Linked DNA regions of Caenorhabditis elegans. The protein of the gene in region 1 interacts with the protein of each later gene in a pairwise test. Each region holds a gene or a part of one and is shown in the gene's direction. Other genes may lie near its edges.

Region 1 (5,844 bases):
TGGTACGGTAGGAATACTGTAGGGTTACGGTAGTTTCAGAAAAATTAGTTTTCAGCCCCAGAAGTGGGGGGCCGCGCCGGAGGTGCGGTCCACGGCTGGTATCAATATAAATTATTTATTTTCCAGGAAGCCAACGAAGCTATTGATCAGAGCAACGATACAGATCTTCTCGGCCAGAATGTCAAAGTCGATTGGTGCTTCGTCAAGGGAAAGAAGACTTCTGGAAAGCGCTGAAAACCACGTACTTAATTGTCCTCTCCAATCCACGTTTTATGTTTTTTTACACGTCACTGTTAAGTTTTTCCTTTTCTATTTATTTTTTGTCCTCTTTCCCAATTTACCATTCGAAATTTTAAATATCTATTTGGTCTCAACTCGCTCGCTCTTCTCAATTTTGCGATTTTTGTTATCTATGTGACACATGCAATAACAGTGAATAAAATGACCATTTTTCAATTATCTGCTGTTGCTATTTTCTTTTTATCGTTAACCAGTTTGGAACGATTTGATATCTTCAATTGTTTCGTAGATCAAATTCTGGAAAAAAAGATTTCTGAATATCTGAGTTTTGCAGATGTTTTCTTCTGCTGTTCGAGCTCTTTGCCGCACGGTTCCTACTGTTGCCACCCGCCAGTTGAGCACATCTCGTGCTCTTTTGTCACTTCGTCCACTTGGACCAAAAAATACTGTCCCAGCTTTCAAAGGAACTGCTGTCGTTGATGGAGACTTCAAGGTTAAAAATAACAAATATATATATTTTTTTCAAAAATTAATTCCAGGTGATTTCTGATCAAGACTACAAAGGAAAATGGCTCGTCATGTTCTTCTATCCACTTGACTTCACCTTTGTATGCCCAACTGAAATCATCGCATACGGAGATCGTGCAAACGAGTTCCGTTCTCTTGGAGCTGAAGTTGTCGCGTGCTCGTGTGATTCTCACTTCTCTCACTTGGCCTGGGTTAACACTCCACGCAAGGACGGAGGACTCGGTGATATGGACATCCCTTTGCTCGCTGATTTCAACAAGAAGATCGCCGACTCGTTCGGTGTGCTCGACAAGGAATCCGGACTCTCATACCGTGGACTTTTCCTCATTGATCCATCTGGAACTGTCCGTCACACTACTTGTAACGATCTTCCAGTTGGAAGATCTGTTGATGAGACTTTGAGAGTGCTCAAGGCATTCCAATTCTCTGATAAGCACGGAGAGGTGAATTTTGAAATTTACAAAAAATTTAATTTCTAGCAAAAAAAATGCAATGTTTTTTTTCCGAAACTTTGGCCCGCCATAAAAATATTTAAATTTTTGTTGAAAAGGAAATCGGTCGTTTCGGGCTAGTTTTAGTCCATTAAAACAAATTTCGACGAATAAAAAATTAATTTTTCAGGTTTGCCCAGCTGATTGGCATGAGGATTCTCCAACCATCAAGCCAGGAGTCGCTACCAGCAAGGAATACTTCAACAAGGTCAACAAGTGATCACACAGAAACAGAACAATTATTTTTATTCTTTGTATTTATCATATTGATGATTTAGTTTGTCGGTTTAAATAAATAGGTGTCATTCAGCTCGAGTTTTTTGAAATTAATTTTGGAAAATATACGGTTTCAGAAAAATCCATTAAAATATTGATTTTTGTTTCCTAAAAAGTTTTGGAAAAAAATGTGAATTTCATTTCAGATTTTTCTAAATAAATGAACAGGAAAAAATTAGCAGCATATGGTCAGGAATTCGAAGATGATGACGAAGAAGGTCTGCAATTTTACAGTTTTCAGGAAAAAAATAAATAATTTCAGGAAGCTCTGTATCAAAAAAGCCAACTCAAATCCACGAAGAGATAGCAACAGATGAAAAAGGAAAACGGAGATTCCATGGAGCCTTCACTGGAGGATTTTCAGCTGGTTATTGGAATACAGTTGGATCAAAGCAAGGATGGGTTCCTCAAGTGTTCTCATCATCTCGGAATGAACGTGGAGAACAAATAAAACAAAGAGCTGAAGATTTTATGGATGCAGAAGATCTTGGAGAATATGGAATAGGGAATCGATCGATAAAACAGACTGCGGCATTTGGTGAAGGAGCTGGACAGAAAAGGAAAATGGCTTGGGAACGGGATACGACAAGTATTTCAACGATAACTCAGATGTTTGAGGATGTTGTGAAGCCTGTTAGTAATTCGATAGGAGTACGGATGCTCCGATCAATGGGATGGAGAGAAGGACGAGGCATCGGATTGGCAAATGTTAAACAGAAACAGAAGAGAGGTTCGAGAGCATATCTAATTGAAGGAGGAGTTATCAAAAAAAGTTTAAATTAGTCTGAAATTCTTAAAATCCATAATGGAAAAAGGGAAACATCGCAAAAAAAGAAGAAAAATCTCGTTTGTAGGAGTGCGATTTTTCGTTCTTTGGCAATTTTTTCGTGTTTTCTTTGTGGTTTTTCAGGATGGATTTGAGGCGATTTTGAATTTTTTACAGCGGAGTCCTCACCGAAACTTTTCAAAAATGTTTTATGGCGGTATTTAACAAATTTCGTCAACTTTTCCGTGCCGGAATTTTTTTGGGTTGTTTTTTCTGTGTTTCAAAGTTGTTCGTCTAGCGTTTTTTCGTGGATTTAAGAACATTTAGAGATCAAATCTGGTCCAAATGTACCTAAATTCCCAAAAAAAAATTAGATAAATATCGATTCCCAGACGCTTTGGCAAAATTCGGTTTGTGTTTTCAATAAAAAAAATTAGTTTTGAAGATTCTCGTGCTAAAATTCGGTCTTTTTGGGCCATTTTGAGTCCAAGAAACCAAGATTTTTATCGATTAATCCTCCTTTAACCAAATAATCAATTCCTTCAAAAAAAATTAATTTTTCCAGGCGGCGAGTCGTCGGAAGCCCAATTCGACCGCGAGCAAGCTTCAAAGGTGGCTCCAGCGTACGAATTTTCGAATGAAGATGCTCTTGTCAAACAACTGACCCCATTAACTGGAACTCATGGAATAGGATATCAAGGTCTTCGTAAGACTACTGTACTTAATGAGTCATACGGTAGAACAACTTTGGCTTTGAAATCCGGAAAGAAAAATAGCAAAGGAATAAAAGGACAAGCATTCGGAGTTGGAGCATTTGAAGAAGAAGATGAAAGTGTTTATTCGAATTATGATCTCTCGCAATTTGATTTTTCATTGGATGTAGCTGGAGCATCAGAAGAGAGTAATTTGAAAACACAGAAATTGGTTACTGCATTTGAATTACAGCCAAAGAGGCTTAATCCAAGAAAATTCTATGCTCCTCCAAGAGTTCCGCCGAATTTTCGAGGCGATCATCGTCCGATTCCAATGGATATCTCGAAACTTCCACAAATGATGAAGAATGATGTAAAACATATGAATGCGGAGCAAAGAGCAAAGTATGATTTAAATTAACAATAATTCATATTTTTTCGCTTTTTTTTGTTTTCCGAAATTTGCTAAAGTTTGAGTTTACGGGTTTTTAAAACGTAAATCGATTCAGCTTTTTCCGAGAATTTTGACCTGAAAATTATTTGGAACATTTTTTTGGCCATTCTCATCATTAAATTTCGGTCAATTTTAGAATATTTTTGTTGAACTTTATTTATTTCAGATTCCTTGGTGAAGATCGCGTGAATGCACTTGAAATTGGAGGCAAAAGTTCCAAAAAACCGACAGAACGAAGAAGTCGATGGGATATCAAGGCAAATGAAGTCGAAAAACGTGATAATGAGCGTGGTGGTGGTGAAGCAGAAGAAGATCGGGATCGACGACAACGGAATCGAATTGAATTCCCTGATGAGCCTATGCGACAAGCTCGATTTAAAGAGTTTCTTCATTATATTCGACGTGGTCTACCGTACCCTCAGCCCACTGATCTGACTGTCTGGGAGTGGGAGTGGGAAAAGAAAGAATTCGAGTCAAAATTGACATCTGACGAACGGGGAATGCTTCCAGAAGTACAATCCAGGGCTCAGCCACTTGCAAAAACTGCCATAGCAGCGCCGATTCATGAAATGATGGCTTCGAAATTTGTGAAAGAAGCTGGCGGTGATTTGAAAGTTGGAACGAAGGATGAGGATAAATTAGCCGCTGTGAAAATGGAAATGTTTGGAGAAAAAACGAGGCAAAGCTTTGATTGGTATGTTTCTAAATTGAGAATCATCTAAAACGACCGAATTTCATAATGAGATTTCTCAAAAAACAATTTCGAAAAAAGGCAAAAAAATGTATGTGCTGCAACAAGATCAAGATGACGAATATTCGGATTTTACAATATTTGGCTCTTTTTTTAGAAATTTTCTGAGAATTCTTATTATGAAATTTTTTTGTTTAGGGCTAGTTTTAGCCATTTAGTCCCTTTGAAAAATGTAGAAATTTTTAAATTTTCAGGTATCCTGACAATCTTCTCGCTAAACGATTCAATGTTCCCCATCCATATCCTGGATCAGACACTGTCGGAGTTCCAGCTCTTCAGAAGACTGATTGGAAGCGGAAAGATCGATTAGCAGATATTGGTGGAGTCTCGGCAACGTTGGGACTTCCGAACACTGCAAATGAAATTGAAATGAGGGAGCGACTTCTGAAATCGAGAGCTCAGAGAGGAGCAGAAGAGAAAAAAAGAAATCAATCAGATGATGACGATGAGAAAGAATATGATGATAAGGATTCTGATGAAGAAGAGGAAAATGAAGCCGAGCCTAACAATCAGAAGGTAGACAAAGCTCCAAAATCGTTTTTTGATTTCATTTTTGGAGATGGAGACGGTGCAGACTCAGATGAGAGTAATAGTGAAGATGAAGAAGCTGAAGAGAAGGAACGGCAAGAGATTCTGAAAAAAAGAGAAGAGGATTTGAAAAGAAGAAGGGAAATAGTTGAGAAGAAAGAGGAGGAGAACAGAAAACGAGTGGAAAAAGAATTAAAAGAATTAGAAAATAGGGATTTGCTGAGAGTTTCAAAGCAACAGGAAGATGATGATATTCAGATTATTGATGAAACTTCTGCATCTTCATTTGGTCCAGCTCTTCCTCCATCTTCAAAACCAGTTCTTTCAAAAACGGAAGTACTGAAACTTTTAGAAAAGAATATGAAGAAAAAGAAAAAGGATAAGAAGGAGAAGGAAAAGAAGAAGAAATCGAAAAAATCAAAAAAGAGCAAGAAAGAAAAGAAGACAAAGAGGAAACATTCTTCGTCTAGTGCCGACGATTCCGGTGATAATTCCGATGGATGGGAGGAGAAGAAATAATCTGAATTAAACATTTTGTTAATTTTTTTTATTTATTTATTTATTATCATATATTACTATGGTTTCGACTTGTAAAAATGAAACATAAAATTTCTCAAAGTGATGTCTGAACTATCCTTCTCCTCCCGTGTGGCTATTTGTCCCCAGTTAAATTGTCTGCATCTCTCGTTCTCTATTTCTCTCGCTTTCTATTCTCTCAAGGATTGTGAGGTTTGGTTCCTGCGAACTCGTGCACTGAGGTCACATTTTTCGAGCAGAAATGAGTTTTCAATTTCAATTTTTCAAAGATTTTAGTTTTTCAGATGCTTTCTCTGTTAAAAATTAGTACAATTTGTTTTCCATTTTTTCAGTCTGCAAATATTAACCGGCACCTTTAGAAACATTTTTTGAATTGCATTTGAAAAACCTTTTTTAATTTGAAAAATTAGAAAAATTAATTAGAAAAAAAACCCAACAAATTTTAATGCTGAAAAACTACAATTTCTAGTTTTTTTGTAGTTTTCAGCAGTAAACGCATTGGTTTTTTACATGAAATACTATAAATGTGGGATAAATTGGTAAATTAATGTTTTATACATAAAACAATTAGCGAAAATGGT
Region 2 (4,250 bases), on another chromosome or scaffold:
TGTTTGGGTTAGTATTATACAAATCCGAGTTTTTGCCATTTTTCACCTAAAATTTGGTGCCCGGTCTCGACACGACAGTTTTTCGTATAAAACAAACAGGTGTGCGCTTTCAAAGAGTACTGTAATTTTTAATAAAACGAATTTTCGTCACTGTGAAATTTTTATCGATTTGTAATAGTTTTTCTCACAATTTGTATTAAAATTGTGTATTTTAATTGTTTTGTTTCAGTTCCTGAATTAAAAACAATATTTTTTACGAGAAACTGAAAAGTTTGAAATTACAGTACTCTTTTAAAGGCGCATACGCTTTAGCATTTCTCAAATATTTATCGCGTCGAGACCAGACACCGTATTTTTTGAACAAAAATCGCAAAGAAATCCGCATTTGGGTTATTATTAAACTCTTTTCATATATTTTCAAATAAAATTTTAATTTTTCTTTCAGATAAAACTTGTGAATCGCCCCGCCAAAACCGTTCTCATCGAATATCGAGACGGAAAACGAAATGGCGACGTTATTGCACAAATAAAGCAACATCTTTTCGTATCACGCCGTTTCAATCGACCACAAATACGAATTTACTTCAGAAATGGAGTTCTAGCAGAGATGGCCCAAAAACTCATTCGTCATGGAATTGTTGTTATTGGAGAGCACGTCGATAAATCAGATCCTAGTTTACGTGGAAAATGGAACGAAGAATTAATTGAACGGCTTGGAGAAGAGGAAGATTCTGACTGGGATGAAGTTGATGAAGATGCTGCTTCTATTCCAACGTAAGTTTAAATAGGTTTTGATGAAATAAGAAGCAAAACATTTTGCCGCCAGCAGGGGTCGAACCTGCGACCTTGGGCTTATTAGACCCACGCTCTAACCGACTGAGCTATGGCGGCCATGTTTTCTGTCCCGTTGAAAGGCAAACACGTTCTTGCGTCTCCCCATCTCTCTCTCTCTCTTTTCCCGTACTACAATAACTCTATTGCAGGCTACCCTCCTCACAATCGCAGTCAGAGTCAACACTGCCACGCTTAAATCTTGATATTTCGGCTGTGATGTTGTTAGTTTCGAACATGTGTGAACCTGGTGGTGTGAATTATCAATTCAAAGAGGAAATGATCAATAAGCATGTGGAATGTGAACGATTGAAACCTGCGAAGGCTGAAGTGCTGGAAAAATTGAAAGGTTTTGGATTGCAATTTTTGTCAAAAATAATATTATCAATGTTCAGGACATCATCTGATTATGTGTGAGCTTGCCTATAGAAGAGTAGCAGAAATCGTAAAAAATGTCGGCGGGCCTACGGAGAAGAAGCGATTCGAAGAGCTAAGCAAGACGATTGAGCGTGTTCAGGATCAACCATCAGATGAAATTGGAAGAGTTGTCAAATTACGAAATATCAAAGGAATAACGTCAATTACAAAGGTTTTGAAAAAACTTTATTCAATATTTAATTCATATATTTTCAGAGAGTCTTCTCATGCGCGGAAGTTACCAAAACGACTACTGTAACTGCCAATCAAAAGTTTTTGACACATTCTAGGGCTAAGGTATTTGCTAGTTAGCTAGGTATCAACTAATTATATATAATTTCAGCACATATACTTCGATGTCATCGAAATTCCACCACGTCCTCTTACCGAACAGAAAGAAGCTACTGCCAAAGTTATCTGAAGAACATATATTTTAAATTATCTAGTTCTTGTTTTGAATTATGTTTGTATTATTTAGGAACAAGTATAAGTTGCCTTCAACATTTCAATTGTGATGATCTTTATTATTTTGACCTCGGTTCGAGTATTATACTGTATTGAAAGTGTCCCGATGAAATTGATGAATTACTCTCCTTTTTTATAATTCTTTTGGATCTATTTTCTGGTTTAGCAGAAGCCATTCATATCTTACAAGTCTCAATTTGTTTTTCTGAAATTATTAAAAGTTGTATTTATCCAGTAAAATGTCAAAATGCCCAACGGTTCGTGCAAGAGCAATTGATTGTAAGCAAGGTGCAGTACGTGCGGTTCGATATAATGGTAAATTTGAAACAATATATTTTAATTCAATAAAGTCCATTTTCAGTCGATGGAAATTACTGTGTAACATGTGGAAGTGACAAAACTGTCAAATTATGGAATCCATTGAAGAGCAGTCTTCTTAAAACATATTCTGGAACTGGAAATGAGGTTCTTGACGCCGCTTCATCATCAGACAATTCACAGATAGCTGCTGGTGGAGCCGATAGAGCCTGTACAGTATTTGATGTAGAAACTGGAAAACAATTGAGACGGTGGAGAACACATGGAGGTAGTTAAGTATTACCCTGACGCGATATCTTGTGATTTTTGCGCTAAAATACGATCCCAGGTCTCGAGGCGCCTTTCAAGATTACTGTAGTTTCAAAAATTTTTGTTGCGCAATTTTTAAAATCGATTTTTCATTGTTTTTTAAAAAGGTTTTTTTTAATTCAAAAACTAAAATAAACCAGAAACATATGAAATTTGAAAAAATCGTGAAAAAGTATGTGAAAAAACTAGAAAAGTACTAAAAAACTACAGTAATCTTCAAAGGCGCATATCCGTTTGCATTTTACAAAAACGTGTCGTGTCGAGACCGGGTACCGTATTTTTTGCCCAAACAATTAAAATAATTTCGTTTATGTTGATTAAAAAAATGAGAAAAACATATAATTTTCCGCTAGAAAAAAAAATTTCCAGCATTTTTATGATATTTTTTACGAAAAATCTGAAGTTTTTTTTTCAAAATGCTGGAAAATCGAAAAGTCGAAAAACGAACATGTTTGATTTTTCAATTTTTTTTGAAATTCAAAAAACCAAAAATTACCGTTTTTTTAATGTTCCAAAAATAAACTGCACGTAATATCTCACCTGCAATATTTTCAGCACAAGTGAATGCAGTGGCATTTAACGAAGAATCATCTGTGGTATTCTCCGGCTCAATGGACTGTACAATGCAGGCATTTGACTGCAGATCTCGAAGTGAAAAACCTATTCAAATATTCAATGAATCAACTGATGGAATTCTCTCAATTGATGTTAATGGCCATGAGATTGTTGCTGGAAGTGCTGATGGAAATTACAGAGTCTATAGTATTAGAGATGGAAATGTAATTGAAAAAAAAAAAGAATTTTCAAGTTATTAGAAATTTCTAATTTTCAGATGACAGTCGACTACATGGGAGATTCAGTAAACAGTGTCAGCTTTACCCCAGACAGTAATTGCCTGTTGGCTGGAGTAATGGGTGGAATTGTTCGGCTTATTGATAAATCTAGTGGAAAATTGCTAGCAAGGTACATATTTTTGAATATTGTATGAAAATTGGAGCTATAAATTTATAAATTTTCAGCTATAAAGGTCATCAAAACACGGAATACAAATTAGACTGCCGAGTTTTACAATCCATCGAGCACGTGGCAAGTGGCTCAGAAGACGGATTCGTTTATGTGTATAGGTAGGTAACAATATTAGTTTCAAAAGAAAGAATAAATTACAGTCTCCTCGATTCACACATCGTGTCGAAACTCGAACATCCTTCAAAAGTGATTCATTCTCTGACGGCTCATCCGAAAAAAGAACGACTCATGACTGCAGCAGGACAAATGATTTACTTATGGGTTGCCGAAGATGATGCGGAAGTGCTCGGAGAATAACGATCATGAAATATATATTTATTTATTTTTGGTTAATAAAACTTATTATTATGATAGTTATGATGATTCGGATGTGTGTGAGTTTTGTAGAATGATACATGAAACAATTGACATGAGATTAGAAATCTCTATAATGTAGTTGGATAGGAAAGACACTAGCAATTTGGTTTTTGTTTGTAATGAAAAGTTCTACACGCAAGCAAATTTTGGAGGGGTTTGATGATTTTCAGAGAACAAATTAAGAAACTGAAAACTTTGTACACGAAACAGAGGATTAGAGAGAGAGAGAGAGAGAGAGAGAGAGAAAAGATATCACAATAAAATGAGAGAAAGAGACAGAAAAACTAGAAGAGAGAAAAATGACCAGAGAGAGAGAGAGAGAGAGAACAGAGAAACTACAGAAAATCAGTTTCCAGATGAAGTTTCAGCAGCAGCGCCAGTGTACATATCATCGGCACTGCTTGAATGATAATCATCCAAAGAATCATCTCGACTTCGCATTGGAGACAGGAAGACTGGCTGACGGCGTTGACGTTCACGAACTTCACCAATTGCACGCATTATACGACAAGATGAACCTCCGCTGA
Region 3 (3,353 bases), 310 kb from region 1:
TTGTAATTTTCAATTCTTTTGATATTCTTGATGTAAAAATTATATTTTTTATCGAAATCCCGTCAAATATGCTTGGAAAAAACGAAATTTCAAGAAAATCATCATCTACCGTACTCATGGGTACTGTAGCTGAAAAGTTTCACTCGCGTCGAGACCCGGAAGCATCATTTTGCTTTGAAATTTGCGCGTTTTTCCGATTTTCGATTCAATTATTAGATGAATTGAAAACTATCAGCGAAATCGTTTTATCATTTGACAAAACCTGAAAATTTTCTAAAAATGTTTTTTGTCAGACTGAAGAAAAATTATTTTTAGATTAAAGGATTAAAGGATTAAAGGACGATCGGTTCTTCAAGTGCTATGCACTGCGGATCTGGGATTCAGGTACACTGCCTGGTGGTGATCCTCTGGGCTGTAATTTTAAGCCACGTCCTAGCCGGGGACTGTGGCCGATAATCCAGTCGTGGATTGCTCCACTTCCCAATAGACATTCTCTTATTTTAAAAATAGAAATGTTGCAATTAATCGGAATTTTGCAGTTGAGGGGTATCGCCCCAAAAAAATTTTAAAAAAATATGTTTCAAAAAAGTACTTCTTGAGGACTGAGGCGACTCAACTCTTCCCCCACCTTCCACCAATTTTGCTCATATAACAGTCCACAATTGTGTGCCCCTCAATATATTTCCCCTTCGGTATAATTGGCCCATTTGCCCTCCACAATCTATTCACACTGTCCATCCCGACCGTCCGTCTCTGTTTCTCTCTTCTCCGTCGTCCCCCACACTTTTCCTACCCCCGCTTGTCGTTTGCACGGCCTTCAAACCCAAAAAACCGATGAAAACCGTATCTGAAATAGTTCTACTCTCCGTTTCCTCGTTTTCTTTGTTCTAGAATGGTTTCAAGTTCGAAATTCTCAAAAAATTATGAGGTTCGAATATTACCCAGACGCAAAATTTTGAGATTTTTGCCCTGAAAATACGGTACCTGGCCGCGAAAAGGCAATTTCTGAGATTTACAAACGGGGGTGCGCCTTTAAAGGATACTGTAATTTAAAGCTTTCGTTGCTCTCTGATCAGATTTTAATTGATTTTTCATAGTTGATCTCACAATTTATTAAATCGAATAATTTTGAATTTTATTATCTTAATTATTAATAAAGTAATATTATTTAATAAGTAAATTTATTTTCAACCAAAAACTATGAAAAATCAATGAATACTGAAATTACAGTACTCTTTAAAGGCGCACACCCATTTGTTTTCAACAAAAATGTCATGTCGAGGGCCATTTTTGCAGCTGATTTTTGCTATTAACCCTGAACAACTAAAATTGAGAAAATTGTCCAAATTTCATTCATTTTAGCCATTTTTGTAAGTCGAATTGATAATTTCTGAAAAACTCCCGCCATTAATTTCAAATTACGATCTGCAAACACCATCACGTAAAAATGCACAGTTTTGCCTCACGTTAAAATTTGCAAATTTAATTTTAAAAAATTTATTTTCTCATCTTTTCTCCTCATATTCTCTTCATTTCTAGTAATTTTCGTTCGAACAATTCGATTTCAGAATCAATAAAACATTAAAAATGACGGAAGGGGACGATCAATTAATATCGATTCGCAAACAACTTGAAAATTTAAATAATGCAACAGATGACATCAACAGTTATGAGATGAAGTTGGAAACTGTCAAGAAACAGTTTTGGTGAGTTTTAATTCATTTTTTATTTTAAAATAATTGCTTAATCGCTACACGTCTAAAACTGGAAACCTTTTATTGCACTAGTCATTCTTAACCAATTAATTCGCAAAAAATCGTACCAAATCTGGTTTTGATGCTAAAATAATCTTATATATTTTCAGTGAAACCCAACTAATGTTCAACAAAGAAATGCTTGGAATCCCTAAAAAGTTGGCCAAACACATATCAAAATCCCGTCAATTTTTCGATTTGAAAAGCCGCGAATCGGAAATCAGAAGATGTGTTCAACAAGCGGCAGCTCAATTTGAACGACAAAAAACTTCAGTTGAAATGGCAAGAGAACAAGTGCAAATACTGCATAATTCATTGAATAACAATCAAGAATTGGATGCAGAGAAACAATATGTTGATGTGATTGAGCAACAGTTGGAATTGGTTAAAGAAGCTGAGGGAGAATGTTTAAAAGCTGAAAAGTGTCATGCATCACGTGTCAGGGATTTGTTACAGTTGGAAATGGCTTTAAGGAAATGTTTAGAGGAAAATGGGTGAGTTTCAGGCATCAGGCAATTTTCTGACAATATATTTTCCGAATTTCAGATCTGCCATCAAAAAATCCCGGCCCTATTACGAACGAAAAGAAGTTCTGACGCGAACAATGAATTCTCAACTTGAGTTAATGTCAATTTTGGAGCATGAAGTAAGAACTAATAAGAATAAAACTGTATATAGATTAAAATAATTTTTAATTTCCAGGTACAAGAACGAAAAGACAGCTACAGTGATTCGATGCGAGCTTTAGAGCAGATCAGCGATCAAATTCATCAGGAGCGTTCCTCGCAAAGCAGTTTGGCTCCTTCGAGTGATGCAGAATCCGACAGCTCTTGATACTCTGAGCCACACCCTTTCTTCTCAATTTTCCACGTGTAATATTAGATTTTTCACGAAGTTTCGAAATCTCGATCTCACTTGTACTCACGTTCCACACCCAATCAACTTCACCAAAAATGTATTTTTACGGGTTTCAATCCCCTTTCTCTTTGCTCCTCATTTTCTCTATGTATCTCTTTATTTTGTGTTCGTCTGGTGCTTAATAACAATTTTCTTGAAACATTAAAAATTGTGATAATGAGAAGACGATGAAGTGCCCACAAAAGCATCTACGTGTGCACACGCTGCACTTCTTGTCGGAGCACTGGATTTATCAAGCAATCGTGAAGCCAATGTGCATAGCTCACAAAGAGTGGATGCCCTTGTCGCTGGTGGCAATCTGAGGGTGAAATAGATTGTTGAAAAATTGTAATTTTTTGAAATTTTGAGACGTTAAAAAAAATCGAAATTTCGTTGACTTGCAACTTGCGCGTCATATATAGTGTCAAGTACGCATACACCGCGACGGTAGAATGCACAAAATTGTCAATTTCAAAATTTTCATGATTTTTCTTTTATTTAACAATTCAATTTCTCACCTGCTAACCGAAGCGGGTCTTCTTTCTTCTGGAATAATTGGAATTTCTTCATCAGAATCCCATTTAAAATACTGAAAATTGTTCACACGCCGGCCAAGCTTTGGAATGCTCTAAAAATATTTGTGTCATATTATTGTTTCACTTAATTGAAGAGATTACAGGCATTTCTATATCATTCCGATTA

The links. Proteins that work in one complex are often made in the same cells at the same time.
Region 2: the proteins of gpch-1 (region 1) and wdr-83 interact in a two-hybrid assay, tested with the Caenorhabditis elegans proteins (one large-scale study listed by BioGRID).
Region 3: the proteins of gpch-1 (region 1) and rei-1 interact in a two-hybrid assay, tested with the Caenorhabditis elegans proteins (one large-scale study listed by BioGRID).

Annotation. Positions count from the first base shown.
Region 1 is NC_003281.10:4,406,870-4,412,713, forward strand, and holds gpch-1 (G patch domain-containing protein 1 homolog), read left to right. Parts: upstream 1-1,681; 5' UTR 1,682-1,695; coding exon 1,696-1,753; intron 1,754-1,797; coding exon 1,798-2,265; intron 2,266-2,866; coding exon 2,867-3,398; intron 3,399-3,613; coding exon 3,614-4,141; intron 4,142-4,392; coding exon 4,393-5,245; 3' UTR 5,246-5,338; downstream 5,339-5,844. Other genes in the region: RNA-binding protein rnp-4, read left to right, coding at 127-234; putative peroxiredoxin prdx-3, read left to right, coding at 575-733, 780-1,211, 1,390-1,479.
Region 2 is NC_003280.10:5,029,411-5,033,660, reverse strand, and holds wdr-83 (WD repeat domain-containing protein 83), read left to right. Parts: upstream 1-1,948; 5' UTR 1,949-1,952; coding exon 1,953-2,028; exon of another isoform or gene 2,029-2,074; coding exon 2,075-2,299; intron 2,300-2,895; coding exon 2,896-3,119; intron 3,120-3,172; coding exon 3,173-3,303; intron 3,304-3,359; coding exon 3,360-3,464; intron 3,465-3,506; coding exon 3,507-3,663; 3' UTR 3,664-3,717; downstream 3,718-4,250. Other genes in the region: F33G12.3 (DUF1308 domain-containing protein), read left to right, coding at 1-7, 446-774, 984-1,180, 1,227-1,420, 1,465-1,545, 1,592-1,669; Mitogen-activated protein kinase kinase kinase nsy-1, read right to left, coding at 4,069-4,246.
Region 3 is NC_003281.10:4,096,363-4,099,715, reverse strand, and holds rei-1 (Guanine nucleotide exchange factor rei-1), read left to right. Parts: upstream 1-1,525; 5' UTR 1,526-1,587; coding exon 1,588-1,706; intron 1,707-1,864; coding exon 1,865-2,248; intron 2,249-2,300; coding exon 2,301-2,400; intron 2,401-2,456; coding exon 2,457-2,588; 3' UTR 2,589-2,813; downstream 2,814-3,353. Other genes in the region: C03C10.7 (uncharacterized protein), read right to left, coding at 2,814-2,970, 3,170-3,279, 3,329-3,353. UniProt on the Caenorhabditis elegans protein: Guanine nucleotide exchange factor for Rab GTPase Rab-11.1. Spatially and temporally regulates the distribution of Rab-11.1 to target membranes during embryogenesis. Plays a role in cytokinesis, probably by targeting rab-11.1 to the cleavage furrows.